Cricetulus griseus: one gene and its partners. The protein of the gene in region 4 interacts with the protein of the main gene of each other region in a biochemical or structural test. Links are inferred from orthologs where the notes say so. Each region holds a gene or a part of one and is shown on either strand. Other genes may lie near its edges.

Region 1 (7,409 bases), on a different chromosome or scaffold from region 4:
GACTTTGACTGCCTATTGGGTTTTGGGTTTTCGAGACAGAGTTTCTCTGTGTAGCTTTGAAGACTGTCCTGGAACTTGCTCACAGAGTACTACCTGCCTCTGCCTCCTGGATTAAAGGTGTGCCCTACCATGCCCAATTCTATTTTTTTTTTTTTTTTTTAAGATCCCTCCAAATCTGCGTGTAAGTACCTGTCCTGGCATATGTTAGTAGCATGTATTCCTTAACCTGCTCCAGAAGCAAAGACTCCAGAGAGGCAATGAATATAGAAGGGTCAGGGTTGTTCTTAATATTGTTTATTAGCACAGTAACAAATGCAGACGTAAGAAGTCTAAAACACATAACCAGTCCACTGAGCATTTGCTATTCCACGCCTACGGTTAACAGCTTAAGGTATTTCACTACAGGTTTCCACAAATCCTGATTCAACCTTTAATTTGCAAATGAAATAAAATACATTAACTACTCGTTTCCTACATGGTATCTCATAGCCAGGTGTCCATTTTATATTTATATGAGGTAACAATCTCTACAAACTGTTAAATACCATTGTTTCCTTCTAAGAAAAACAAATTCAAACTTTTTTAAACAAGAAAATAGGACTTTACATAAATGGCCATGTGTGTAACCTATACAAATTTAAGCTGATTTTGAAATTACAGTAGACTACAATCAATGGAACCCAAGTGTCTACACATACATTCTTTTCTGTTGTACTAAAAGTCAGCTAATCTTGCAAAACTGACAGCTCTAAAAGTCACTATTACCAATTTGTCTACTGTAGCAAGATACCTTAAGTTACAACAAAATCTTAGGAAGTAAGACTGAATAATATCTGTTATAGAAATACCCTACTCTTTACCAACTCCCACCCTCCCCCACCCTTTCAAAATCATAAGCAGCTCTCTTCTGTGACAGACAGATAATGGAAGAACTGAAAACCCAGTTTATGTAGCGTATCTCTTGGTCCACTGTCTGGCCATTCTGTCGTGTTCTGCTCTGTTGGTCATATACTGAGTGGCAATACTTCCCACCAAAGGGTCAGCTGGAAGAAAAATAGGTAGATTACTTTGGAGAAAGAAAATCAGATACTTTAGATATAAACACACAGCAGTTATAACCATGCCCTATGTCTGAAACACCATGGTGTTTTCAAATCATTAAAAACAGTTTTTGAAAAGATTTATGTGTATGGATGCTATAGATGTGGGCTGCCATGTGGGTGTGGGACTTGAATCCAAGTTCTCTCCAAGAACAACTGCTCTTAATAGCTGGGCCATTTCTCCAGTCCAGCCTTCTAATCTCAATAAAAAGTAAAGCAAGGAAGGTTAGGAAAAGTCTTGCTAAAAAACGGAGTGGCCTGGCTTTATTTTCTTATTCTCCTTCTCTCCCAGCAAGTGGCACTCTTGTTCTTCATGAGTATGACCAAACTTACAAGTGTGGATACCCAAGGCGCCAGGACCAGCTCTGCTCACAATTAGAGCACTGTGGATGCTGTGAAGTCTGTGGCTGGTGCAATCGACACTATTATGTCGGTATACCTAGAAAAGGCCAAACCCAGACCACCCAACTAAATGTATTTCTCTGAAAATGGAAGGCCTAGTTAAATTTATATGTTTATGCAGAAAAATAAATCATTTCTTTTTATTTTAAAATGATTAGACCTGGGCTAGAGAGATAGCTCAGAGGTTAAGACCACTGACTGCTCTTCTAGAGGTCTTGAGCTCAATTCCCAGCAACCACATGGTGGTTCACAACCATCTATAATGAGATCTGGTGTTCTCTTCTGGCTTGCAGGCACACATGGAGGCAGAATGTTGTATACATAATAAATAAATCTTAAAGAAAATAAAAAAAAATGCCAAAATTACATTTGCAAAGATCCTTTAAAAAATAAATGAGTAGTCCCAGTAAGATTGTAATTCTGAAATAATTTCTTTTTATTTTAAAATGATTAGTCCCAGTAATTCTGTAATCACCAAGTACTTGGCAGAAAAATACCTCTTTAAAAAGTGAGAATTGGCTGTGGGGCAAGTGCTCACTGAACCACCACCTAAACAAGGAGGCAATAGAGCCACCCACCCAGCCTCAGTGCTGAACACAGAATAATAAAGTGGCTGCATTTTCCAACTAGTGGGTTAAACTCTTGATTAAAACATACTTTGAAAACTTGGTTCTTGGTTTATGTGGAAAACAAGTACCTTTTCATTTAGTAAGAAATAAAGTACAGATTATGACCCTTACCAGGATTGCAGTCTGTAAGGAGTGAGCAGATAGAGAGGAGGACTTTCGAGATGGTTAGTGCTGGGCTCCAGTTGTCTTTCAATATGTCCAAGCAAATAACTCCTTGGCTATTAATATTACAGTGATAAATTCTTGTACGAAATGTAACCTAAAAATAAGATTATTGTTAAGCAGCATTCAGGTAGGAGACTTTTTACTACATTTCAGCTGGCTAATCCATAAAATGTAGAAGACTTGACTGTGAGGTTACAGAGCTCACTCAAACCATTTCCTTTCATTTTAAGGCAATACCCACTGCCAAAGCCAAAGGGAGTTCAACACTTCCTCTCTTCTATAGGGTTTCTCTTTTCTTTACTTCTTTTTTGTTGTTGTTGTTATTTTTGAAACAGCATTTCTCTGTGTAGCCCTGGCTATCCTGAAACTCACTCTAGACTAGGCTGTCCTCAAACTCAGAGATCTGCCTGCTTCTGCCTCCCTGGGATCTACTGGGATTAAAGGTGTGTGTTAACACCGCCTGGCAGGGTTTTTCTTTTCTTAATAGGTTAGCCTTGTACTATATATCCTAGACTAGCTGCAAACTTTAATCCTCCTGCCTGTTGCTGTTTCCAGAATGTTGGGATGACATGCTTGGCTTAATTTTAATGTTTTAAATATGGATATTTCTAAGTTTGAATTGTTGGTTGTTTGCTGACCTCTTGTGTTAGCTGGTAGTAATACACTGCTTTTGAGTAAGCTTCAAATCTAGTAAGCTTGACTATAAATAAATAAATAGCACATGTTTTAAGCACTTACCTCTAGAAATGCCTACTGCCAACTAAGTAGTCAACCCAATCAATAGTTATTATATTCACTTAAAACTACAAACATGTATACCCAAGAAGCTGAGATCTTTTCTGACCCGCACATCATATCTAGACTGTCTATCTAAATCACAGACTTTACCTAAATGGAGTATCCATAGGTAAGAAGGCATTGGTAGTGGGGGAGAAGGAATGGGGGTGGGGGGAGGGAGAGGGAGAGGGAAAGTACATGTGAAAATATTAATAATTTAATAAAAAAAAAGAAAAAAAAGAAAAAAAAAAAAAAGAAGGCATTGGTAGGACACCAACACAACCATGGAAGGAATTTAGCTTTTGTGATTACACTTTTAAAACTTCAATGTGTCTCTCATAGGAACAGTCAAATCTGAGAATACATATGAGATTTCTTACCTTTGGAGGCTTGAAGGGATATTCTGGTGTAAAAGTGATATCAAGGAAGAATACACCACCTTCATATACAGATCCTGGAGGTCCAAGAATGGTTGATCTCCACTCATAGATGTTGTCACCTTTGGGACCAGCACTGTGAAATAATACACCAGCAGATAAAGGATGGTGACACTGTCTCAGAAAAGGAAAGAAGCCCTGCCCTGCCCCTTTGGTTTAATGCCTGGATTCTTCATAAAGACTGCCATAAACTCACCATCCATCAGGGATGACAGAGGAACGTCTGGTCCATGCTAAGCCTACTAGTTATAACTAGACACAATACCTTCAACTCTAAAATGTCTTAATATGTAAGGTAAAACAGCAATTAAAACCATGGCTTCGGTTGGTGACTGTTAGATCTCAAAGAAACCTGAGCTACGTCTCACTAGGCTGTGTGTCTTCTCCCTGCACTTCTCACCTCCCTCCCAGAGGCTGGGCTTCTATCCCCCCTGGCTGTCCTGAGCAGATAGAGAGGAAGGACAAACTGCTCAGTTCCCCCTCCTGTTCCCCCCCCACAGCCTCTCTACCTTATAACTCAGCTGTTTTGACTATGGGTCTCTCTTGGTTTGCTTGTCATCCCCGTGTCGTCCGTCTCCCCCCCCCCCCCCCCGACTCCAGATCATGGTCCTGTTCAATCTGCTGGCCAGGTTCAGTCTGGACTCTTCCAGATGTCCCTGCCTGTTCTCCCCCTTTTTCTACAATAAAACCTCCTCAACCACACCTAGGACAGATCATGTCCTCATTTAAGTTTTCTCAGGGCTACATCATCTCTTGTAACTATTTCTGGTACCAAGAATCTCATTTTCTGACCCATAGACTGACTCTTCCTTGTGCTCTATCTCCTTAATCTTTGCCCTAACTTAAGGTGCTTGGCAGAGTTTGGACCCTGGTAGGGCTGGTCAGCTAGCCAGGCTAGCAAATTGGTGAACTCCAGGTTGAGATAAAGGCATTCAACGCTGACTTCAGTCTCCACGGGCACACATAATGAACATATACATATATACACTTTTGCTTTAGCAATAGATTTACCCTGAGACAGAGTAGCCCAGGCTGCGTTGGAAGTCATGATCTCCTGACTCAGCTCCCACAAACACTGGGTCATCCATAATCCCAGCTTGATGATTATGCTTTTTACCTTATGAAGTAATGAGTGAGGTAGGAGAATGTCAAGGATGTAATCAGTTTTCACGTCAGTGTTAAACTTTAACTCCAGTAAGCCATTAACCAAACCCTATTCTTGTTTAATATGCTTAGGCTAGACCCTCACTTGGCTACAGTAAGTATCCTTAAACATCGACCTGGCTACTAGAGTGCTTTGTATCCAAGCACCTTAACAAAAGTGGTAATAGCTTACCCTCCAATTCTAAGACCTATGAGAGTGCAATACACCTACCTGCTCTGATCAGTAAGGAAAATACTATGGCAAGGACAAGAGTTGGGAAATAGTACACACTGCATGCAGGCAAATGGCAATGCAGACAAACTACTCCCCTCAATCCCCCAGACAGGTTTCTCTGTGTAGCTTCCCTGGCTGTCCTCAAACTCAGAGATCCACCTGCCTCTACCTCCCAAGAGGTGGAATTAAAGATGTGTGTCACCACTGCCAGGCTCAAAACTGCTCTTTTTAATATACTAGATTTGCTTCAACTCTTAATGAATGCTCATGTACAGGGCAGAGTGCCAAACGGTCATGACTAGGGGCTGAATAAGACAAACTGTCCTCAAAAAATTTACATTAACTGATTTAAAGCAGGGTTGACTTTCAGATGAGGGGACAGAGATGAAGTGGAAAGGAGAGCAGATAAAAGGCTACCTGTGACTCTACTTCCTTACACCTAACCACACTGTTTCTTTTCCCTTTCAGTTAGGATGAGAGAAGGATGAAAATAACATGATGAGAGTGAGCTTTGAAAAGAGAACAGGCTGGGAGTGAAAACACTAACAACATTGAGATTTTAAAATATGGGCCTGACCAACTGGGATAGACATGTTGCAGCAAGAGCTCATACATAGCCCCAAACACATGCCCTGTGACCTGAGCAAGTCATTAAGCCAGTTCAAACTGTGTCAGACTTGGCAGTGCTCAGGAATTAAAGGGAACTGAGGGAATCTAAGACTGGCTCACAGGCGTCACTGATGGTGATGGTCACCAGTAGAGAGAACCGGCTCAGACAGTACAGCCTTTAAAACCCTTTAGTGTTATTTCCAGGGACCCAAAGCCAGTGTGGTAGACTGTAATCCTCCTTAGGTTAAGGCAGGAGGCTAGCCTGGGCTGGAGACTTTCTTTAGGTTAGATATCAGTACAGTCACTCATCTTCGAGTACACAGAATTGGTATCACTTTCACAAGGGGTGCAGGGAAAGACTCTGAAAAATTACTTATTTCTACTTACATATATGTGACTATGAGAAAGGGGGGGGGTGATCCTCCTGCCAAGGCCTCCAAATGCTGGCATGATAGGTATGCACCATCACACCCAGATGCCCATCCATTTCTCACTAAAATGGCTGAGCAGGTTTACACTTGAGGTCAGCTAAGTTTATTTCTACTAGCCTTCTGCCTTCTCCCCCTTTGTTATGTAACACAGGCTGCCTCTGAATTCAAGACTCCCTGCCCCATCTTCCCATGAGTTGGGACTGCAGGTGTCCACACTCCAGCATTGTTGCTTGCATTAACAGGAAATACTTTGGTTTCCACAATAAGAAACTTAACTGTCACCAACCCGAATGGTTACACTATATGATGTTCTGGATGGAAGAGTAGCAAGTGCTCTTAATCAGTGAGCCATCTCTTCAGCCCCACTTACAGATTTTCTTAGACAGTTAAAGCAGCCAAAATATGGTTCAAAATGAAAGTAAAAATAATAAAACTCTTTTACAAGGCAAAAAAGATGGTTGTTTCTTGTCACATACACTCAAGAAAAGTGAAAACTGCTTCTAATGTAAACCTTGTATTTTTTTTCCCCTATAATGCTTTCTGACCCAACACAGATTTAAAGCACTAGGAGCAGGTGTAGCGAGCCACAGAACAATTCTGCCAGTGCAGCCAAGTCTGCCGACTGTCAGGCAGCATCTCACTTAGTCAACAGGACTCTCCCCACTGGTGGCTTTTGTTGCGACTCCAAGGTGCATGTGACCCATGGATATGCTCACTTTGTTAATGGTACACTGCTGACTATAATTCCTGAAGCCACCATTGGCAGTAACTTCAACTCAACACATGTGACTTAAAGAGAATTTAGACAGCACAGATGAGTTCAAGTCATTTATGATACAAGCATAAACCACCAACAAACAATAAACAAAAGAACAAAAACAAAAGCCCTGTCATTGGAGCAGTCCTCGTAGAATCTGATGTGCTCTCTGGATTGACCTTAACTTTTCCAGTATAAAAATTTCCACAAAAACAAACTTTTGTTTTACAATAATTTCTGTGAATCCTCCCTACTCCTCCTTCCAGCACTCTGCAGCTCTCCCATACAGTCAAGTCAGTTACATCCCAGTTTTCAAATGAGAAACCCTGAAGAAGCGGAGTTACACTCCATTTTAAAAACTATACTTCTGGCTATCAACTTTAAAATTTTATTAGAAGACAGCACCTTGGCTTACAGACATATAAAGCCCTATTTTAGTATAATTCTTCAGGTTTCATTTTTGAGGAAGTTTCAAAAGTTTACAATCTCTCCTCTTCCACCTTTGAGGGCTGAGATTACAGGTGTAGGTCACTGCACCCAGCTATTCAAGTATAATTCTAAATACTTAAAAATATAGAGATCCTCGGGTTGGGAAGAGAGGACAATAAGGCTGAGCTAGAAGCAGGCAGACAGGCATCAGCAGGAAGTGAGAGTGTAGGGCAGCGCAGTCCATGTGAGCGAGCATGTTTCAACAGAACCCAAGCAACTTCTGGCATCCATGATG
Region 2 (7,409 bases), on a different chromosome or scaffold from region 4:
CCCCACGCGGCGAGGGCAGCCCGGCGAGATCCCCGCCCCCCGCGGCCTCGGCTCGGGCTCGCGCCCGCGGCCCCGCAGGCCTCCCTGGCCCTGCGCGTGCCCGCCGGGGCCCGCGCGCCCCTCCCCCCCTCCCGCAGAGTGTGGCCCTCCTCCGCCCTCGAGGACCCCTCCCCTCTCCGCTCGCGCCCGCCGCAGCCGGGAACTAAGTCTCCGCGAAGTCCAGGATGGATGTCGTGGTGCAAAGTGCCCGGCTGTCCCGAGCTCTTCCCTAATTGCATAATTGCTGCACGAGGTGTCCGTGCGGGCGAGGGCCCGCCCGGGAGCACCGGCTGGGTGTGTGCGTGATGCCCCGGGGTGGGGGGCGTCGCACTGGTCTTTTGTAATGCCTGGTGCTTGGCACAGTTTGGCTCCGAAGCAGGTTTTCCTCTGGCTTCTCTGCAGCCCCCGCTGGCCTGATTGGAAACTGGATTTCCCCCTATCCCCCCTCCCCCCCTTCTCTCCTAATGTTTTGATCCATTTACCCTTTTCCAATTCTAATGAACATAAAGCCTGGCTTCTTGGTGGCTCTTTTCCCACGACTAACCAGAAATACCCAATCCATCTTCCCTAAAGGAAATTAAGGCCGCATTAGAGACATCATCACCCTGGGCTCGGTGGCTTTTGGACCAATTTGCTGGTTTGCAGGACTCTGATATCGCCACCCCTGTATTGTGTAATTTTGAGGGTCTGCGCAAGTATTTCCATTTCAAAGTACAAAAGGATGTGCTAGGACTTACCTCTGATTACCTTACCGTTCTGAAAGATTTTTAAAAGCTCGTCTTAGTTTTAAATCCTTGGATTTTTGAAAAGCACGCTCTGGAAATGTGATAATCGAATCTGAATCTTGGGAATCCAAATATTTGTCTTTACTCAGGCAGTTGGGATGCTCCTGGGCGCTTTGCCTTTCGTATGTGGGCGATGATGAAGATGGAGTGTTTTCATATGTCATACCTTGAGCTGTTTTCCCTAGGGAACAGCACACTTTCCCCCCCAATCAGGTGCTCCACTGTTGTTTCCCCCATAAATATCTTTTCAGTCATTTGAAAAGCTGGATAGCGCTGCATGTTCGGCATGTAATATAAAATATTTTACATTTTTGGAAAGTTTAGAAATCCCAAGTAGAAAAACTACAAGATGCCCATGACAAGTTTTCTTTTTTAAAATCATGACATTTAATGAATAGCAATGTGGACTTGACTATTGTTGGTTTCATCAATGGGATTTACAGACAGATCCTTTTGTTGTTATGGAACAGGTGAATTTCACTCACTATGCTGGTAATTTACAGAGTATAATCACAACATAGAGTACCTATCAAAGAAAGCATAGAAAATTAGTATGTGTAAATTCTTAATTGTAACGTGTTTTTGGAAAATCCACCATATTATTTTATGTTTTAGTTAGGAACTAAGGTTCACTTTGAATCTGAAATGAAATACCACTTTAGGAATCTTAAGATCTTTGAAACTGTTATTAGAAGACATATTTGTGTGTAGAGCGCTTGAATTTAGCTTCCTTTAGGTTAGGTAATTGTATGGAATTAGATCTTTACGAATTAATTTTAATATTTAAAAGTTTTTATTCAGGAACTTATTTATACTTTAGAGAGACAAGTCACCATTTTTATACATATAGTTATTGGAATGATCTATAGAGTATTATCTTTCATAAAAGTTAATTGTGCCTGAGTGTGCAGTCACTTTTATTTTCTGTAATCAAGGATTCAGAAAACACTCAGCAGACATTTCTTTAATTCTTGACATTTGAAAAGGTGATGCTAAACTTTTATTTCTAAATGATTTAATAAGGATTATCAGTGGCCCTGGGTGGGGGTGGGGGTGAGGGGTGGGATTTGTCAGTTGTAGGTCAAGTTTTGGATGAAATAAGGTATCTTAGATCAAAAGTGTAGATAATTTTTTAGCTATAAAGCTATAGAAATTATGCTCCTATTTAGGCATTTAGACACTTTCTGTGGTGATGTTTTGGATTGAACCCAGGCCTTCCCATATACGCTAGGCAAGGTGCTCTACCACTGAGCCACACCCCCCAAGCCTGTCACTAGTAGTTTTAGTAGCTTAATCTTCTGGTATTCTGTAGTAGTTTTAGAAATTTCAGTCTCAGATTATGGTATTTTACATCATTGAGTAGTCTATTCAGTAGTTATATAGTTGACATATTATTAGGTGTATGTAAATGTACTTAATACTGAACCGAGTGTGTGGTTTTATGACTAACTCAGTACATAGCCATGACTTGACATAGCAGTCATAGCAGTGGCTTCAGTGTAAGGTAACTATTTTTCTGTGGCTCTTGTGTTTGCCATGTGGTGTGATAGATTGCCTGAGGTTTAGGATACATAAAACAATTTTTCACTCTTTCACATCTCTTTACATTTTTTTTCCAGCAGCATTTTGCTCCTAGAACATCTAACCCTAAGAGTGCTTCTTTTTCTTTCCCTGTATATATGCTCTATCTAGCATCTATAGTGTACATACTTACAAGTTTTTTTTAACTTTTTGTAGATTTGAACTCAAAGAAGCAAGCTGAAAAAGAATACAAATATTAAACCCAATAATAATAAGCTTAAAGTCAAATAAAAATGGAAGAAAACCCAAGAAATATACTCAGACTTGTAGAGCTAGGTGTGAAACATACTGATATAAAATTTCAGTATTCTATTAAGTGACTTTATTGCTCATAAAATGTGTCATAGCTACGGAGAATGATGGTCTCCATTTACAGAAGGTAGGGGAGCAGTCTGGTTTCCTGTGAGTGTTTGAGAGCTGTTTGGACAAAGGAACTATTAGGGCTGGGGGTGGTGATGCTATATGTGGTGTCTTTTGATGCTTCATCTCTGTGCTTCCTGACTCTTCCAGTCCTTTGCTGTGTTTATTGTCTTATAAAAAAAAGTTTGTCCTATAAAACTTTCAGTCTGCTAAAGGCCTGTGTTAAGAAGCCACCATGTCTTTGAGCAAACTCTACGTTGAACTGAGGATGATGAATGTTGATTAGTTATTGGGTCATACCTTTGGACTAGGTAATGATAGTAATGCATTGTGTTTTAAGTGAGGCTTTTGTTTTTGTGTGCACCGAAGCATACTTTTGACCATATCAGGAACAGTTTTATTTCAAAGTCTTAATTTAAGAGTAACCGAAAAGAGTCTTTTTCAAGAGGAATTTAGATAAATCTCTCTCTCTCTCTCTCTCTCTCTCTCTCTCTCTCTCTCTCTCTCTCTCTCTCTCTCTCTCTCCCTCTCTCTCTCCCTCCTCTCTTCTCTTCTCTCTCTCTCTCTCTCCTCTCTCTCTCTCTCTCTCTCTCTCTCTCTCTGTGTGTGTGTGTGTGTGTGTGTGTGTGTGTTTTGATGATGATGGTAGTGGTGATGGTGATGACAATAGTCACAGGCAGTCTTGTTTTTTTTCAGAGACGTATATCTGAGCCTTAGCTACATGATACTCAGAATGGTTACTGGTGGCTTGAAGCCCTGTAGAATCTGGATATGGGTTTTGTCAGTTCAGTTCTGAGTCTGTCACTTTGCTGGGTCAGACAGGATGTGATAGTAAGGATCAAACTGGGGCTGATTATGATGGAATGAGATTGGAGAAGGGATATCCTCTTCACTCAGTGCATTTTTGTGTCTGCTATCTAGGTTATAACGGCTACCTAGGTATCAAGGTATTGAGGAAATTGAGTTGGTAATCGGAGCTGCTCCAGGAGCATGAACCCAGAGCAAAGTGAATTTCCAACCTCCAGGGCTATTTCCTCCAGACTGGGGAAAAAAATGAATCCATCAGTGTCTCAGTACAGTCTCTATCTCTTGTGAAACATGGTTGCTTAGTGGAGCTGGGTCAGTGCCCATACTCTCCTAAGCCTCAGTTCTTGTTTGGAATCACGTGGCCTCTGTTCCGTTATCACAAAGGTTACTTAAAACAATTTCCCAGCTTAGAGGATTTTAACCTTGGCTCAGCTCTGAGGATGTATCGATTGGATGTGAGCGTGGCAGTGCCCCTGTTTCTCAGCCCTGGGCCTTTTTGTGATGACTTGCCAGGACACTTTGCAGGTCTGTTTACCTGTCCAGACTTCTCATAACTGAGCCCAGAGTGCTTAGCCCAAAGCCTGAAAAAATTAGGCTCTCAATCCTTCTTTCTCTCTCATTTTAAAAGATTTATTTATTTTTATTTTCTGTGTATGATTGTTTTATTTGCATGTATGTCTGTGCACCACATATGTGTCTGGTGTCCAGCGAGGTCAGAGAGGGTGTCATCCCTTGGAGCTGGAGTTACAGCCCATTGTGAGCCACCTTGAGGGAGCTGGGAATGGAGCCCAGGTTCTGTGCAAGAGCAGCCAGTGTTCTTAACTGCTGAGCCAACTCTCAAGTCTCTTCTGGTTTGTCTTATGCCAGTTCTTTTGAGATGTAATTTACCTTATAAAGTTAGCCTCCTTCATTTTTTGTATATACTGGAGCTTGAACTCTGCTGAACTTGCACTCTGCCCAAACTATACCTCCACCATCTTAAAATGTGCAGCTTAGCCTGGGGATTGTCAGTAGCTCAGGAGTAGAGCACTTGCTTTACACAATGGGACACTGGTTACTGTCCTCAGAACTACAGAAACAAAGCATAGCCACGCTGAGGCTTTTCTGCTCTGACCTCCACTTAAGAGCATTATCACTCACAGGAAAGTTTCTGCTCAGTAAAAGTCACTTCCCTTTTCTCTGTCTCTATGTTCCCATGGATTTTACTGTCTAGATATTTCTTACAAATGAGCTTGTGCAGTCTGTGGTCCTTGTGGCTGTACTGGCTTCTCTCAGTTAGATTCAGGGTCTTCCTGCTGAAGCATGAAGATACCGGACTTCATTCCTTTTTGTGGCTTAGGTATATTGTCATGTGGATGAACCACGTGTTACCCACTAGGTGGAGAACATTTGAATTGTTTCCACTTTTTGTCTTGTGAATAAAAGTGCTACCAATATTTGTGTCTACATTTTACATAAATTCGTAGAAGAAAACCTTTGGCAACCCCCAGAGTTATTTGTTTTGTAATTAGGCAACTCCCATTTTTATACCTAATTTTACTTTTGTTTTGTAGTCTCATTTTCTCTCCATTCTTGATGTACCTTGTTGTAGTCCCTCCCACAGCAGACTAAATGATGTTTCATCTTTAATCCAGGATCTAAAATGTCCACTGAGGCACAGAGAGTTGACGACAGTCCAAGCACTAGTGGAGGAAGTTCCGATGGAGATCAACGGGAGAGTGTTCAGCAAGAACCTGAGCGAGAGCAAGTTCAGCCCAAGAAAAAGGAGGGGAAGCTATCCAGCAAGACAGCTGCCAAACTGTCAACCAGTGCCAAAAGGTAACCAGCTGCTGGCAGCTCTGGATTTGCTTTCAAGTTATCACCTTAAACTCATATTTTCCCTTGTATTTAGTCATTTTTCCGGGATGAAGGTTATAGAGTTTACAGGTTCCCCCCCTTAATATAATTTTTAAAATGTGTTTTTAATTGTGAAAAACTCTTAAAAGCCAATTCAGAGTCATGACATATTATAAAATCTGTACTTGTAGTGCATTGATATATTTCTATCTTGTTAGAAAAACATGAGCAGGACATTATAAAAGTATAATTTGATTTATGGTTATTTGATCATGAATATACTTTTCTATTCAGTAACACAGAATAGACACTGAGAATCTCTTGACTAGGTCTGGGAGTGGGGAGATGGCTCAGTGGGCAAAGTGCTTGCTGCTGAGTCTGGATTAACATCATCCATATAAAAACTGGGCATTATGGCACATATCTGTAACCACAGTGCTGTGAGTAGGGGGTGGGAGAGTGGAGTGTGTGTGTGTGTGTGTGTGTGTGTGTGTGTGTGTGTGTGTGTGTGTGTTGGACACAGGTGGATCTCTGTAACTCACTGGCCATCAAGTCTTTTCCAGTCAGTGAGCTCCAGGTTTAGTGAAGAGATCCTATTTCAACAACCACAAAAATCAAACCAGGATGAACAGGGAGTGATAGGGGAAATAACTGATGTTGAACTCTGACTTATACATTCGTTCTCTCTCTCCCTCTCTCTCTCTCTCTTTCTCTCTCTCATGTGCACACACATTCTCTCTGTCACACACACACTCATGCACACATGCATACACATACACATCTGTTGAAGCAATTATTAGTGACAATTTAGTCTCTGATCCTCCCAGTTGGTAAAGTCAGAAATGCTGGTGTTAATGCATCTTGATTTCATTACATTAGGTGAGGGTTGGTCTTGATTCAGGTTTCCCCTCTCCCTAGAGAATGGATAAATCTGGAAAGGAGGTACTTGGATGATGCTCTGTCGATACTTCAACCTCTTAAAGTGATTGACATGTTGGTGGGCTTAGAGGGAATCTGCTTTGATAGCATTATATTATAGTCTGGTGCTTGGAAGAAAATTTGAAAGGCAGATTACATTCAGTGGACTCATGCTTGCTAGTGATTTTATGTTCTTTAATACCTTTTTAACGAATAAAAATGGCAAATAGGAAATGTAGGTGTTACTTTAACTTTCTTCTCACACATGTAACTTCAGGTACAGGGAACTCTTTGTTGAATGATGCCTTTATAAGACATTGGAAGATATGAATTAGGGAACTGCTTTCCAAAAAACCAAAGACTGTGTATCCTTCTAACTGAGTTCTGTCCACAGGCCTGGGATGAATCTTTGTAGACCCTCTGGTGAGAGTTATGGTAACTGGTCATTTAAGACATTCATACTAACTAAATGCAGGGTATCCAACTTTGATATCCTGTTGTGACATTGTGGTCTACAAATGTTTTGGGCCACAGTCATAGCTGTCATAGATGCAGGCAGCCTATGTACTCCTGCCTGAATATTCACTTTTTCCTTGCCAGGATTTCTGACCATTTTCGAGAGAATTATATAAAGTCAGATAGCTCTAGATATTTACCAGTTTAAAATGGAACACGCTGGGGTGGGAGAACGTTTCTTTTTGCTGTTACACTCCATGTCCAGGAGGCCTTAGCAGGGTGACACCTGCTCCTGCCAAGTGGGACTAGGGTAGGGAGGATAAGAAAGGTTAGGAGTGGAGAAATGTAACATTTGGGTAAAAGCTGGTTTGGGGAGGATGGGTAAGACTGTCCAAATCCAGATCTTATGCAGTTCCATCTAAGAGCTCTCATCCTGCCCTGAGCTGCTGACGCTGAGGTTTTCAGGGCTGCTTCAGGCAGGGGAGAAAGAGGACCAGGCAGGTCTGTGGGGCGTAGTCCTGCTTGTCTGTCTGCACTCCCTATGACTGTTAATCAGCAGAGATCTCCCGTTTCTCTGTTTGGGAGTATCCTTACCAAAAACAAAATCCTCAAAACAAAGCTGCCTTT
Region 3 (8,136 bases), on a different chromosome or scaffold from region 4:
AAAAGCTGGTTCCTTCACCACTGCAGCATGGCTCTGAGGGCAGTCAACACAAGTCTACCACATTCTGTAAATATATTCTCGTCCCCTGGATTGTGCTATTTGCAGAAAAGTCAACCACCTTTGAAAATGTTTGATCTTATGTGCAACTTTTAAATATCTGAGAGTTTTGTACTGATCGTACGGCTCTCGTAATGGTAAAATAAGTACATATATTGCAAATTAAGTGATTCTTCCAGAGAGCAAACTTAACTTGACCTTTTCAAATGAACAGATTTAAATACCTTTTAGGAGGTTAGACAAAAATACTTCAATTCATTTATTTTTAAAGCAGCAAAAAACATAACAGTACTCACTCATAATTAGTTGTAAATTTTCTAGTAATTAGATTATATGGAAAAAAGGTGAAAATAATTTTAACGACATTTATTAAACATAATCACAATATTATCACTGCAACATGTAACAGCAGAATTTTATGCTCTGCTAAGCTTTTAAAATCCAATGCATATGTCACACTTTTAGCATGTCATTTTGAACTAGTCACTAGTGAGGCTGCATGTGGCCAGTGGCTACTGCATGGGATAGCATCCCTCCTAAGTTTATACTTTAGTTGGACATACCTACTTTTAATAAGCACAATGATTGCTTATTTCCAAAAAATTCATTGGAAAATTCAGAATCAGATCACCTTATCAACAGATCTAATTAATGTACACAGTAAGAGGTCAATGGTTACATTTATGTCTATAGCTGATTCAGAGGTTTGTCGGATCAACACAAGGAAACACAGAATTTGTAGCAGAAACAGATTAGACACTAAAGCCTTTCCCACCAAACTATAACATTGCCACAAGTGCACCAGACACTCAATCATAAGTATCTCTATGCAAATTATTTAAATTTATCTTTTAATTGGATACATTCCATAATCCATAAAAATCACTGTTCAAAAATAAAAGTATAGTATGCAAGATGAAATGAAAAAAAATTGATAAAAATGTCCCTGACTACTTTTGATGCATCTTAACATTATTAAGCACAATAAACTTAAATTATTTTTTCCAAATTACAATTTACTCTCTACTTACTAAGAAATTTTGAGTAATTAGGACAATTGCTTAAAATGTAAATAATTGCAAGAATGCACCCTCCGGAAAACAACTGAAACTATTAGTTTAGCCTATAAAATTTATCCTTAAGGCGAGTTACTAATAAATCAAACAGAAGCGATTACCCTCTTGTTTACCACACTTACATTTTCTAACACCGCATTTAGCAATTTCTAAATTTGGAGGTCAGTTCAGATTACACACAAACAGTTCTTTAAAGCTGAAAATTTCAGAAATCACTGAAATATACTTGTGAACAAAAATGCTCTGCAGACATACAAGCAAAATCAGCACCATCCACACTAATTTCAGAAGCCAAAGTCCTGTGTTCCTAAGTTCACAATGTATACATGCTATCTTTTCTCCCATCTTTAGTTAATCCAGATAATTTTAGTTTAGTGCACAAGATAAAACAAATGAAACCAGCTTCTTAGGCTGCACATACATGCAGGCAAGATCATTACCTTCTCAATATTTTTCCACAACTTGAAATGCAAACAACAAATGTGTTTCTTACCTGCAGTTGGGAGGAGGATCAAGGGTTATTTCAGCTAGCTCCTTCTGAATTCTGTAAGTGAAATGAGAACAAACAAAAAGGATCTGAGGCAGTCTACAGAATAACCGGGGAATTACACTGCCCTCTACCACCATGCAGTTAAATGCAAGGCTGGCTTTGCCTTCAGTAATGCTAACATGGCTGCTTCCTCTTTGTTCTCAGAGGCATAACCCAAATCCCTTAGCAGAAACTTTGCGGCTCTTTTTCTCACGTGCTATTGTAAATAAGTGTGTCATTTACACCTGATTTGAGAAATAGTCCTTTCTGACTACTAAGTGAAGGATATATAATCTGCTAAAAACCACTCTTTACCAAAGAAATTCTCTTTTCAAGCTTATATGCAAATGAGACAAAAAGGGAGGAGGGAAAACACCAGAGATTTTGACAATGATTTCAAGTCACTTTTTACTGAGCTAAAAATGAATAGGCTGCTACTAGAGCACATTAATAGTTTTTGGCGATATTTTATCTGTCAGAAAAGTTTAAAAATTATAAACATGTTTGCCAATGAAAAATTTCAAACTGGCACTCACATTGACTGTAACTGTTTGCCTCTGATTTTTAGATATACCTTTAAAGTTCTATAAATTTGCAGCAGGGAAGAAGACAAATATATAAGCTCAAGTTACAGGCAAAGGCAACTCTGGTTTTCTTCAAATTTAGGATGTTTTCAAAACTTGAGACATATTTAATACGTTCCTCCACAAGATTACAATGAATCGGGCAATTTAGATTATTTCAAACACTGTTCCTCGTCAATAAAATATTCTAAAGCTGTTAGCATTTGATTGGTGGTTAAAATCCATACCAAGAGTTTGGCTCACAAGAAGAATGCAACATTCCATCAGCTTTTACATTTTTCTTCCTTCATTTATGACCAATTAAAAACAACAACAAAAAAACACCTGTGCTGGGTAATGCTGTGAGCACATTTTAACTGCTAGTTTCTCTAGGTATCCCAATATGACTATCACTCAGAGTCCCAATGGCAGGATCATATCTGTCATCCCAGAATATGAAAATCAACAGAAAACAAGGGATCTTTAACTCTGGCTTGGTTATGTTTCCCCTGCTTTTGAGTTAGCCTGTCAAACATATCTACAAGTTTTAGAGTGAAGAAGGAGGACAACCACGACACCGAATAACATCTAAAACTGTAATTGGCTACTTTTCAGTTTCATCTGCCATCACCAGGAGGGATAACAATAATTTACCCAGTCACACTTGTGCTGCAAGATTTCAAGTCTTGTCCTACACACTGTGGACCAATTTAAGGCACTCGGTAAGACCTGCTTCCCAATATAGCCAAGCCTGGTATTTAACAATTTTCTAGTAAATATTGCCATTTCTGACCATTCAGTTTTATGGAGAGAGGCACTGCTGCTCTCTAGAATTGTCAGTTTCACTCAAGCATGACTCACAAGAGGAAACCTCTCCAACGTACCATCTAATTGGGGGTTCACCAAATTTTCCTTGCTACCCTCTTCATCTGTCAGGATCACCCTCAGCTCCATTTGAGACAGCTCCTCAAGTTACCACAGTACAGAACAAAGTAGCCTTGCTTTAAAGTCAATAGCTGTAGGAAGGCTGCTTATATACCACATACAGAATGACAGCTCATCCAAGTTCAAACACATTTGATGGAGAAGTATTTCTGAACTATTGCCACTGTTGTTAAACCAACAAAACCACCCTATGGGACAGAAGGCAACCTGACAATGTGAGTCCTGCCTTGGAGACATTACCTTTTAGCACTAGTGGATAACTTAGCAGTCGTTTTGCTAGAAAGTTTGGTGTTTTTCTTCTGCTGGGTGGCAGAAGGTTTTCTCTCTTCCTGTTCCTCTGGCTCTGGAGCTGCAGGGTCTCGCTGGTCAGCATCTGAACTGCCACTGCTGGTGCTGGGACTCTCATCATCCGACCTTTGCCTATCACTGGACATCTTGGTGAAGTTATCTCTGGGAAAACTTCTAAGGAGAGAAGGGACCGTCAAGAAATGTTAAATCTTAAAATAATAATAATAATAATAATAATAATAATAATAATAATAATAAACAGCAGCATGTTCTTCTCTCTATTAGTCTTTTATTGAAAAAGATTCGACTGCCCCCATACTTAAGGTATAGCAAGGTTACAGGGAGGCCGATGTGTCTTATAAGGCAGTCGCTGAGGGATTTACCAAACTCAAGTTAGAAAACCCACTCACATTTTTCCCCCATCCCTTAAGACAATCTATCAATTGTCTACTTTCTCAGAAGGCATGAAACAGATTTGCCAAGGAACTTGGGCAACGGGCATTAATAACATATGACAACTGTAAATAACAGATCTCTCGGAGAATGTTCAAAAGTCACTAATATCGTCTAAATATTTACAGGCTGACACCGGTCTGAGCTACCAAATCCTCCTTCCCAGAGGGAAACATACCCTGTTAGTCGCCCATATGCTTATTTACGGTGGCGGGTCCTCCCGTGCGCACCGAAAGCCTTTGAACACAGCACTCAAAATTAAAAAAAAAAAAAAAAAAAAAAAAAAAAAAAAATCAACTGGCAGCCGCCCCACCGCCTTCCCCACGGCCAGCGGCGAGGATTCACCCGGCCAAGCCGGAGCTGCCACCCGGGGAAGGGCAGGATCCGAACTGCACCTTCTGCAAAGCTCCCGGTGCCACCGACGTCCCCCGCTCAATTCCTCCCTCACCGACCGACATTTTGTCAAAAAAAAAAAAAAAAAATTCCGCAAAGCGGCCAAAAGCCCGAGGGCAAAACAAACAAACAAACAAAAGCCCTCCCCCACCCCCCACCCCCAGAAGTGCAACAAATTGGCGCGGCCCGCCCCGGGGCGAGCGCCGGGCCACGCAGCTCCGCGGTCCTTTGTGGGGAGGGCCGCGCAGGGGACCGCGCCACTGCGCCCGCCGCCCCGCCCGCCGGGGGATGCGGGACCCGCCGCCCGCGCCGCTGACTGACGAGCGCGGCTGACTGAGGAGCGCGGCGCCCGGCGCGAACAAAGCTGCCGCCCCCGCCCCCGCCGCCCCCCACGCGGGCCCCGGCCCCGCCGCCTTACCTCGGCCGCCGCCCCGGCCCGCTCGTGCGCCGCTACGCTGTGGGGGAGGGAGAGCGCCGAGGAGCCTTCCTTGAGGAAATGGAGGCAGCTGGGGGGGGAACGGGGGGGGCGGAAAAAAAGCCGCCGCCGAGGCTCCGGCCCGGGAGTGTGGAACATCGAAAGTCGCAGGCGGCCGTGCAGTGCCGCGCTGCGGCCGGAGGGTGGCGCCGCCCCGCGCTCCGGGAGCCACGGTGGGGTGGGCGCTCCGCCGGCCGAGGCAGGGACGCGGGAGCCCCCCGCGCGCTCAGCCTCCCGCCGCCCGGCTAGGCTCGGCTCGGCTCGGCTCCTCCCGGCCGCGCAGTCAGCAAGTTCCGAAGAGAGAGAGCGAGCGAGCGGAGGGAGGGGGGAGGGGCGGGCGCGGCGGCCGCGCGTGCTCGCCGCTCGCCTGGCGGACGGGGAGCGAGCTGCTCCTGCGCGCCCCCGCGCGCGCGTCCCCGCCGCGCCTCCTTTCCACCGACGGGGGTAGGGTTGGATGAGGAGGGGGGGTAAGATGCGCACGAGTCCGCCCGCGCGCGGCCGGGACAAAGAGCGCGACGGGGACCGGCGGGCTGGCCCCTGCGCCCTTGGCCGCCGAGCTTGTACTGGAAGAGAGGGAGGAGGCGGGGGCGCGGTCTCGCGGGGCCGCGGGTGGCTTCCGGCCTGGGCCCGCCTCCGGGGCAACGCTGCCCATTGGACAACCCGCCCCTGAGGCTAGTGGCCCCGGGGTTGCCAGGGGATCCCGTACCTGAGCAACCGCCCGGGCGCGTGGCTGAGGCTTCCCAGATGCCCCGAGAGGCACGAAATGAATGGTGTGATTGAGGAGGCCAAGCACTGGGGCAAAGGGAAGCCGCTGCTGGCCCCTCTGTGAGCTAAAGGAAGTGGCAAGGTGAAGAAGTCCAGGTCTCTGAGGGAGGTGGAGGGGATTTTGCGACCAGGGGACCAACCTGAGCTAATCTCTGGCACCCATCCTGCAGTGTCGATGCCAAAGGGGACTGCCCTCTGGACATTTTGAAAACTTAGAAATCCCAAACTATTTTTGAAATGTCCCGCTCAAGATGTAGTGAGTGAGGCGATTGGGGGGGGAGGGGGGTCTATAACCTGACATTTCTGGCAGCAGGCTCTGCCTTGCATGAGAAACACCAGTTCTGGATAGAGAAGCCCTGGGTGGATCTATGGCAGTGGCCTCATAAAAACTTTTAGGGAGGAATCATGAAGGTTGCGCTACTCTTGTGTTTCTTTTTGCAGAATCTTAAGTGGAGACCAGTTTTGCCCCAAGCACAAAGTAGACAGAAGTACAAAAACTTCCTGTTTGCAGCTCCTGAGAACGTGTTCCAGTGATGGAACCTCAAAGGAATTTGTGCATTCCTCTCCCACAAGTGTCCAGGGCAAAAGTGCTGGGAGAATGAGTTCACAGAAGAAGCAAGAATGGCAGAGCTCTGTGAGATGAGCCAGTGTTCAAGAGAAAGAAAAATAACTAAGTGAGCCAACACACTAGTTTTCCTCCATATAAAAAAGTTTGGGTAAAAGAGCTACTCAGAACTATAAGCCACACGTGTAACTTTCCCAAGACACACACTGGGCAAGCTTACACAGAGACTATAACCTGTCCCAGTTGGTATGTCCAAAGCCTAGTCTCCTTACTTCCTGCCAGGAGTTCCAGGTCTGTCAGAGGACTCCATTACTGAAGTTCACCTGGATGAGAGGAAGGGAACGGTTTCCCAGTTAGGACAAAGTCCAGTCTCCAGAGGGACTGTGATCTGTGTGTGCATCCACACACCAACATTTTGATTTGACTGAAAGGGTACAGGTGGGCAGGGCGACGCAGAAGACTCCCAACTTTACATGATGAGACAGTGGAGCAGCAGCCAGCCAGTTTGAAGTTTGGGCATGTTTGGGATGCAGCCCTGATTGTGTATAAAAGGTGAGTTTCTGAGGGAAATTCAAATACCCTAAAAATAGCCTGAGGGCCCAAAGGCTAATGGTTAACAAAAATTCCATGAATCTTTGGTGTTTGGATTCGTGGAGTCCCGATCAGAATATTTAGGAACTACCAGATGCTTAAGCAAGTGGGAATGCACTTGTAATCTTCAGTTTGTAGCTGGCAGAAAGAAAATAGAATGGAAAGTACAGCCGGGCAGTGGTGGCACACACCTTTAATCCCAGCACTGGGGAGGCAGAAGGAGTCAGATCTCTGTGAGTTCGAGACCAGCCTGGTCTACAAGAGCTAGTTCCAGGACAGCCTCCAAAGCCACAGAGAAACCCTGTCTCAAAAAAAAAAAAAAAAAAGAAGAAGAAGAAAAAGAAAGAATGGAAAGTACTATATTACAGGAGGGAGAAATGAGATTGGAGCATTATTAACTATCAATTAAAAAACATCAGTGGTTCAGAAGCAGCCTTTCTGTGGAGAGAGAATAACTATGCAAAGTAGAGAAGCATCCAAGTGTGTGACAACCTTTGTGTAATAAAATTTTGTTTAAAGTTAAAAGAAAACTAACAGTGGGGTCATTAATGCAGCTTGGAGGTGTGGCGATGGATCTGAACCAAGAGAAGTTATTGGACTGAGCCTGGAGAGATCAGTAGGCCTGAATATTCAGGTGAAAATATACACAATAAAGACAAATGTTCTTGGCAAAATCAGAAAACTGCTTGGGGATACACAGCTCAGTAATAGAGTGCTTGCCCACATGCTCAAGGGCCAGGATTTGATCTCTAGCACCAGGCAATAGAAGAGCAAAAAATAGAACTTAACAGGCATGTGTCACATAATTCTTCCCCTGTTGTTAAACTGACTGTGGAGACAGTGAAAGGATCTGTAAGTTTAAAAAGAGAAGTATCTGCTGCCATAGCACCAAGGACTCAGCTACCTCCATCAGTTTACTAACAGGTGCTTCTTCTAGCTCAGGGCAGGGTACCATGATGTCACCACCCTGACCCAGGAGCAATGCTCTAGTTATAAGCTGTTTTAATGTAAAACCCTTCCCCACAAGACCCCCTGCTTTTGCACTTGATTTTCTTCCATTTGTTTTTGCAATGTCTGTGTTTGAAACTGGAGAGTGTGATGAATAACCACTTCAGGTGATATATAAGTCTAACGTAATGCAAATTATCCCCTAAAAAATTAGTAATTTCCCCCAGAAGGTGCCACAAAAATAGTACCAAGAAGCAGACATCAGCTATATAATGATTGTTCCCACTCCTCCTCTCTCTCTCTCTCTCTCTCTCTCTCTCTCTCTCTCTCTCTCTCTCTCTCTCTCTCTCTCTTCCCCCCCCCCCGTCCCTCTCTCCCTCTGTCCCTCCCTCCCTCATCTGTTTAGTTTGGGAGATGTTTTCCATGGACCTGCCCATGTTACCTAATTATACACCCATTATTTTTAAGTTGCTTAAGAAGTTTCTGAG
Region 4 (7,409 bases):
TGTGGTGTACAGAAGACATACATGCAGGCAAAACACACATACACATAAAAATAAATTAAGAAAATAGAATTCTACTAATACCATCTCAAAATTAGATGCCTTAAAAATAATATTTAGAAGCCCAGTTGTCTGTGTTAAATTGAGGGTGAAGATTTTGTACCTAAGGAAAAAAAACAAAGCTATAGTGAGATGAGTAAACAAGTCTAAGACTAAAATCACTGTTGGCTCTTTTAAGTGAGTAAGTGGCTATATATGAGTGAGGGTTCTCCTGTTTCTTTCATGGCAATTCTGTAAAGGCTTCATTCTCACCTCTCTCTCTCTCTCTCTCTCTCTCTCTCTCTCTCTCTCTCTCTCTCTCTCTCTTTTGGTTTTTCGAGACAGGGTTTCTCTGTAGCTTTGGAGCCTATCCTGGTACTCACTCTGTACACCATGTTGGCCTTGAACTCACAGAGAGCCACCTACCTCTGCCTCCTAAGAGCTAAGATTAAAGATGTGCACCATTCTCACTTATAAACAACAAAATGCACAATAGCTAATATTAAATGAACGATTGCTATCATGCTCATGAGCCAGGGCATGTCAGTGGCTACATTGAAACATACCAGACTGAATTCCTACCAACATATTTCTCTCAGAGACTTACTCAATATTTGAGCAAATCATTTCTTGCCTTCAATTTATTTTTTAACTCGTGATTACATAAAATGTGCTGGATGGAAGCCCATGAAAAGAATATGTTCAAATAAAATAGGAGTAAAAAAAGGCACAGGCCCAAGAAAAAAAAGGAGGTGCTGTTCTGGGACTATTCCTTCTTGATTTAAGATAAGTTTGTGTGTGTGTGGGGGGGGTCACTCAGTAGCAGGGCTCAAGGCTCAGGCTCAGCATGCTTGAGGTCTTAGATCAATCTCTAGAACAAAATCAAACAGCCACCAAACATACACACACCAACCAAAAGACAGAAACATGAGCTAGTTTTAAATTTGATCAGTGCTTTGGTTCAGAAGCAACAGGGCATCTCTATTTCAATTGTAGGATGAATTTTAAACTATTTTTATTTAAGATTAAGCATCCTCACTGACAATCCAGAATCAGTCTGTGCTGACAATTAAGCAATTCCTTAATTTTCAGTGTTAAAGTAGAAAACATGTGTTCACAAGACGCAGGTCAATTACTGTCATTTTCAAAATATCACCAAGAGGCTACCAAGCCACTTATCAAATCATGAGGAAGACAGTTTTCCAAAAAGCCAGTAAAACCCAGAAATAAAATCCAACTATCAAGCTATAAATACCACTCCAAACACTGGCATCTAAGGGGGGGAGCCAAATTCCTATTGGTGACTAGAGGACCCATGTGTTCACAAGGTTGGGGCCAGAACCATGGTGGCTCTTTCCTACTCCAGCAGAGGAAACAACACACTGCTGAAATCAAGACTAAAACTGCCCTTGCCAACAGAAGGCAGGGGAGCAAAGGAGAGAGTGGAGAACAAAATGTGGCAGAGACAGCTCTGAGCCTTCTGTCCAGGCGAGCAGAAGGAGGAGCTCTGAACCAGAATCATTCAAGCCCACAGTTGGCTCTAAACTAGTGGATTCAATACACCATTCATAAATACCAAGTGACCCACAGGGCTTGTGTGCTAACAGTATCTTTAAATTTATTGTAAATTTCTATTCTGGAAAGTGGTAAATCAGAATGACACTGGGACATCTGGTCAGTTACAGAGTAGAAGGCTCCCTTCAAAGGGAACTGAAGAAAGAGTTTGCAGTATACAGCAAATGGGTCAGGCTCTCAGTGCAGTGTCAATAGGGCTGTGACTGTCCCTAGCTGCAAGGTATAGTACTGAGAGGGCTCCAACAATGTCAGGCTTCTTGGACATAGTCTGAAAGTTTAACTCTTGACCCTCTCCCTAACCTAAAGCTTGGGGAAGAAAATAAATATTTACTTTATAACTATCCACAGTTTGGGCATATTATAATATTTAATCTATAGTTTTCATTTCTGAACCTTTGGTATATAATTGTTCGGAATTATGTTACATGGAAAAAAATCTATGTGCCTTAATCAGTAGTACCAAAGAAAAATATAAACCCTGTTCTTCCTTCTACACAGGAAGAGTGAATATATGGCACCCTAAACATCTTGCAAGGTTTCTTTGTGTACTTGACGATAGATTAGGGCAAACCATTCCATTTCTATACGGCGAGCAGAAGAAATGAACTAGTCTTCAATTTCATCTTCCCAAACGTCTCCATTAACATCCACAGCATGGAACAGTCTGAAAGCATAAAACAGAGGTACATACTTATTTGAATCTCTTTCCTTCTTTCTAAAACATTCTACCCTTCTGATAACACCTTTGCATAAATTTTCTTCCTTAACCATTTCTTTAAGGAGGGCTGAAATCTAAGTCTTTATAAACAAGCTGCAAGATGTTTGAAAGAATAGTATTGGTCAGCTAGGCATTGTGGTGTTTGTCTTTAGTCCCAGAATTTGGGAGGCAGAGGCAGGAAGATCTCTGTGAGTTCAACTTAGTGATTTCTAGGCCAGCCACGGATGTGTAGAAAGATCTCCATTTAAAACAAAATAAAACCAAAACAAACAAAAACAGAAACAAAAAGTTAAAGCAAAACAAAACAAATCCAGTACTGCATGCCAGGAATCTGTCACTAAACTGTAGCCCATCCCTCTTTTTACTTTATAAAATATGAGGAAATGGGCATTACCAAATGGGAATGTATATGGTCTGTGAAATAAGTCAAGAGTGGGGAGTCATGCAGTTTGGAAGAAACTGAACTCTTTCAGTAAACAAGCCAGACAAGTGCTAATCTTTCCATGCTCTCTGGTTACAGTCTTGCTCCTGCATTGGTGGCATGCTGTGTAGAGGTCCTTTGGTTTCTTTCCCTCTCAAAAGCTAGTGCCATTTCCAACACTAACTTGTAATACTTCACAGAAGGACTAGGTTCTTCAGTTTCTCTGAGTTTTATAACACTGATGAGTGTAGGTTCTCTACAGAAACCAATAGAGAAGAACACTGATAACTTTGGAGAACTGTTGAACAATAATCCACACTGTTTCAAAGAATCACCTTAGATTCTTTTCTAATAACAAAAGGGAAAACATTAAATGATAGCACACTAACAAAGGAACAGTCTGACCATGGTTCTCTCACTGGAGTACCACATGCAGTATATCACATGAAGTATCATTGTCAAAACTGTTACTACTGTTGGGTGGTGGTGCATGCCTTAATCCCAGCACTGGGGAGGCAGAGGCAAGTAGATCTCTGAGTTCAAGGCCAGCCTGATCTACAGAGTGAGTTCCAGGACAGCCAGGGCTACAGAGAGAAACCTTGTCTTGAAAAACAAACAAACAAACAAACAAACAAACAAACAAACACCCAAACAAAACAAAACAAAAAAACAGGATTGAGAATTCAAAGCCAGGGCTACCAATATGGCCCACAGGATTGAAATGCTTGCCCCGAGTTATAGCCACAGGACCCATGGTGGAATGGAATGTGATGGAAAGGAGGTAACAACTGCTAAAAGTTGTCCTGACTTCACACATGCACCATGACACAAATATACCTACGCACTACACACACAAATCATTTAATTTTTAAAGAAATCAATATAGGCCAGCCTATATCACATATGCCCTTTCTTTTAAAATGTGGAGTAAGTGGGGTTGGAGAGACAGCTCAGCTATTAAAAGCATGGCTACTCTTCCAGAGGACCTGGAAGAGTACCTACATGGTGGCATCACAACCATCTGTAAACTCCAGTTCCAGGGGATCCAATATGTTATTCCAGGCTCTGAAGGTATCAGGTGAACATGTGGTGTTCTAACACACATGTAGGCAAAACACCCATAGGTATAATTTTTTTTTTTTTTTAACCCTCTGAGACAGGGCTTCTGTGTGTAGCTCTGACTGTCCTGGAACTCTGTAAACCAGGCTGACCTCAAACTCAGAGACCTGCCTGCCTCTGCTCATAACTGCTGGGATTAAAGGCATTCACCACTACTGCCTGGCTAAGGGTAATTTTAAGGTGAGAATAAAAAGTAAACAGTAGCCAGGTGGTGGCGGCACACACCTTTAATCCCAGCATTTAGGAGGCAGAGACAGATGGATCTCTGAGTTTGAGGTCAGCCTGGTCTTCAGAGTTCCAGGACAGCCAGAGCTACATAGTGAAACCCCGTCTCAAAAACACCAAAAAAACAAAACAAAACAAAAACCCCAAAAAACGAAAAAAAGTAAAAAATAAATGTTTTTCAAGAGGTGTATACTCTGATCATAAACCCATTTCAAGAAGATTTAAAAATCACATGTAGGAAGAGTTCTCCAAGTCCAGCTACTTTAGAAAATAAACTAACCTGCATAATGGTATCAAAACATACTACAGATAGGCTAGAAAGACAGTTGAGAATGCCTGCTATACAACCATGAGGACCAGAATTTGTATTCCAACACTCATGTAACAAATCAGGCATCCTGCAAATATCTGTACTTTTAGCTCCAACTTTGAAAGATTTGATACCCTCTCAGTCCTGTTAACTCGAGTTCACATGCACACACACAACACACACAACACACACACAACACACCACACACACACACACACACACACACACACACACACACACTCACTCCTGCCTGCACCATACAACTTTTTAACCACTAATCTAGGGAACCCTATGTATACAAACCTGTTAAAGCATGGAGAGTCAGGGTCAGTGAAGTGTTTGTAAGGGTTGGCTCTGGAGAGAGAACCCATGCAGATCCAGCAGAAGTACTGCATACAGCCGGTACAGGTCATCTTGTTACAGCCATCTAACTTCTGGTGGGAGGAGACATGACAGCAAGGTGATGAAGGCAGAAGAGGATGCACAAGCCAAAAATAACATACCATATTCCCCAGTCCATTGTTCTTTTCTCAGGGAGGACTGGTATACAAGCAACAAACACAATGACAATCACTTATGCTTACACATTTGCACTGAAAGTAAAATGCAGACATACTGAGCAGGTGGTCCTACAACTAGATACTTAGCACAATCTCTTCTCATAAATATAGACACAAGGCTGGGTGGTGGTGGTGCACGCCTTTAATCCCAGCACTTGAGAGGCAGAGGCAGGTGAATTTCTATGAATTCAAGGCCACCCTGGTCTACAGAGCTAGTTCCAGGAGAGCTACGACTGTTACACAGATAAACCTGTCTCAAAAAAACCAAAGAATAAAATAAAATAAATATAGACACAAATGAGAGGAACACGTAACTAGGTAAATATTAAAATGTTACTTTATTCTCAGTCCTAGAAATAGAATCTAGGTTATTTAACATGCTAGGTACCCACTCTACCATACACTATATCCCTATCCCTGTCTACTTCTTACTTTTCAGACAAGGTTTAAGTTCACCTTGGCCCTGACAATCCTTCTGCTTCGGCTTCTCAAATGGCTGGGATTACAGGCTAAGCCAACCAGGCTGGGATTAAATTTTAAATTTCTGTACAAATCAAAATTAATAAATGGAATCATATCTAATCTGTACCATAAGGCTCAGGAATGGTAGAAGTTGTCAAATATGATGCTACTTTCCTTAATGATGTAACTAAGGAATTATCAATTTCAGTTACAACATACAAGACTGAAAAAAATAAAATCAAATGGAAGGCAATTTTTGATTTTAAAACCCATTAAGATTTTGGTGAGAAGTAGTCATCAATCTCATTTTAGGGGAAGGGCGTTTAGGTTATCGTCTCCACCATTGCCTGGATTGTCAGTTCTTGTCATCCTTGTAGATCTCTGGAAGTCAGTCTCACTAGTGCCAGATCTCTCCTTGGACCTATAATGGCTCCCTGTAATATGGTATCACTCATCCTGCTCTCCACTATTCTTCCCCCAACTCAATATTTCTGCTCCTCCATTTCCTCCTCTCCTCTCCTCTTCTCCTGCTCTCTTTCTGGCAGCTCCCCCTCCCCTACCCTCATGCTCCCAATTAGCTCAGGAGTTCCTGCCCCTTCCTATTCCTGGGGTCCATGCATTTATCCCCTAGAGTACTTCATGTTTCCTAATTTCTTTGGTGAAGAGGATTATAGGCTGGTAATCCTTTGCTCTATATCTAAAATTCATAAATGAGTGAGTACATACCATGTTTGTCTAAAATGAGATTGATGACTACTTTTTATGCCATCCTAGAGCCCTCATCCAGCGGCTGATGGAAGCAGAGGCAGACATCCACAGCTATACACTGAACTGAACTCTGGAACTTAGTTGCAGAGAGGGAGGAATGAAGATCGAAGGGGTTGGTAGCAGGTTGGAGAAACCCACAAACAGCTGGCCTGAACAAGGGGGAACACATCGACCCCAGATGCTGTCTGGGAGGCCAGTACAGGACTAATCCAGACTCCTGAACATGGATATCAATGAGGAAGCCTCTGCACTCTAGGAGGCCACTGGTAGTGGATTAGTATTTTTCTCTGGTGTAAGAAGAAACTTTGAGAACCCATCCCACGTGAAGGGTTCTTGCCCTGGACACATGGAGAAGGGCATAGGCCCAGCCCAGGATGATGTGGTGAACTTTACGGAGCCCCCGTTGAGGGCCCTACCCTGCCTGGGGAGTGGAGGGTGGATAGAGTGAGGGTCAGGGTGGGGTAGGAGGGGTGAGGGTGAGGGGAGGGAGAGGGAGAAGGGATGGACATGTGAAACAAGCTTGTTCCTATTTTGAACTAATAAAAAAAAAAGATTTTGGTGAGAAGAAATAAATTTGTCTATTTGGCTAGATTAATAGGGCAAATGCCTCCATTTCCTGAGCACATATTTATTAAACACATTTGCTATTCTGAAGGATAAAATAGTTCTGCGAAGTCAGTTATGATTTTTTTTTTTCTGAGACTGAGTCTCATGTATCTGTGTTGGCCACGAACTTGCTACATAGCTAAGGGTGACCCTGACCTTGTGAATTTCCTGCCCCATCTCCTAAATGCAAGGACTGAATACTGGTATGTATTTCCATGTCTACTTTATTATTCTGGGACTGAACCCAGGACTTTGTGCACTCTAGGCCAGCACTCTACTAACGGAGGTACATCCTAGTCCCTGATAAGGCCTTTAAAAACAGACTGGGGGGTGGGGGGGTGGAGAGATGGCTCAGTGGTTAAGAACACTGGCTGCTCTTCCAGAGGTCCTAAGTTCAATTCCCAGCAACCACATGGTGGCTCACAACCATCCATTATGAGATCTGGTGCCCTCTTCTGGTGTGCAGATATATGTGGAAGCAAAATGTTGTATACATAATAAATAAATAAAATCTTAAAAAAAAAAAAAAAAAAAAGACTGGGGCTGAAGGGATGGCTTCTTGGTTAACAGCACTGGCTGCTCTTCCAGAGGACCCAGGTTTAATTCTCA

Evidence for each region.
Region 1: the proteins of Rnf14 (region 4) and ubiquitin-conjugating enzyme E2 E1 form a complex in vitro, tested with the Homo sapiens proteins (3 studies listed by BioGRID, with this or other methods). The link is inferred for Cricetulus griseus from reciprocal best matches to the Homo sapiens genes RNF14 and UBE2E1.
Region 2: the proteins of Rnf14 (region 4) and Ube2e2 form a complex in vitro, tested with the Homo sapiens proteins (2 studies listed by BioGRID). The link is inferred for Cricetulus griseus from reciprocal best matches to the Homo sapiens genes RNF14 and UBE2E2.
Region 3: the proteins of Rnf14 (region 4) and Ube2e3 form a complex in vitro, tested with the Homo sapiens proteins (2 studies listed by BioGRID). The link is inferred for Cricetulus griseus from reciprocal best matches to the Homo sapiens genes RNF14 and UBE2E3.

The regions. Positions count from the first base shown.
Region 1 is NW_023276807.1:175,391,133-175,398,541, forward strand, and holds the end of ubiquitin-conjugating enzyme E2 E1, read right to left. Parts: intron 3,587-7,409; coding exon 3,454-3,586; intron 2,391-3,453; coding exon 2,243-2,390; intron 1,044-2,242; coding exon 946-1,043; 3' UTR 273-945; downstream 1-272. UniProt on the Homo sapiens protein: Accepts ubiquitin from the E1 complex and catalyzes its covalent attachment to other proteins. Catalyzes the covalent attachment of ISG15 to other proteins. Mediates the selective degradation of short-lived and abnormal proteins.
Region 2 is NW_023276807.1:175,954,405-175,961,813, reverse strand, and holds part of Ube2e2 (ubiquitin-conjugating enzyme E2 E2), read left to right. Parts: intron 1-5,206; coding exon 5,207-5,390; intron 5,391-7,409.
Region 3 is NC_048599.1:96,286,788-96,294,923, forward strand, and holds the start of Ube2e3 (ubiquitin-conjugating enzyme E2 E3), read right to left. Parts: upstream 4,860-8,136; 5' UTR 4,723-4,859; intron 4,111-4,722; exon of another isoform or gene 4,090-4,110; intron 3,633-4,089; 5' UTR 3,605-3,632; coding exon 3,411-3,604; intron 1,678-3,410; coding exon 1,627-1,677; intron 1-1,626. UniProt on the Homo sapiens protein: Accepts ubiquitin from the E1 complex and catalyzes its covalent attachment to other proteins. In vitro catalyzes 'Lys-11'- and 'Lys-48'-, as well as 'Lys-63'-linked polyubiquitination.
Region 4 is NC_048595.1:199,332,334-199,339,742, forward strand, and holds the end of Rnf14 (E3 ubiquitin-protein ligase RNF14), read right to left. Parts: intron 4,839-7,409; coding exon 4,708-4,838; intron 2,276-4,707; coding exon 2,218-2,275; 3' UTR 1,027-2,217; downstream 1-1,026. UniProt on the Homo sapiens protein: E3 ubiquitin-protein ligase that plays a key role in the RNF14-RNF25 translation quality control pathway, a pathway that takes place when a ribosome has stalled during translation, and which promotes ubiquitination and degradation of translation factors on stalled ribosomes.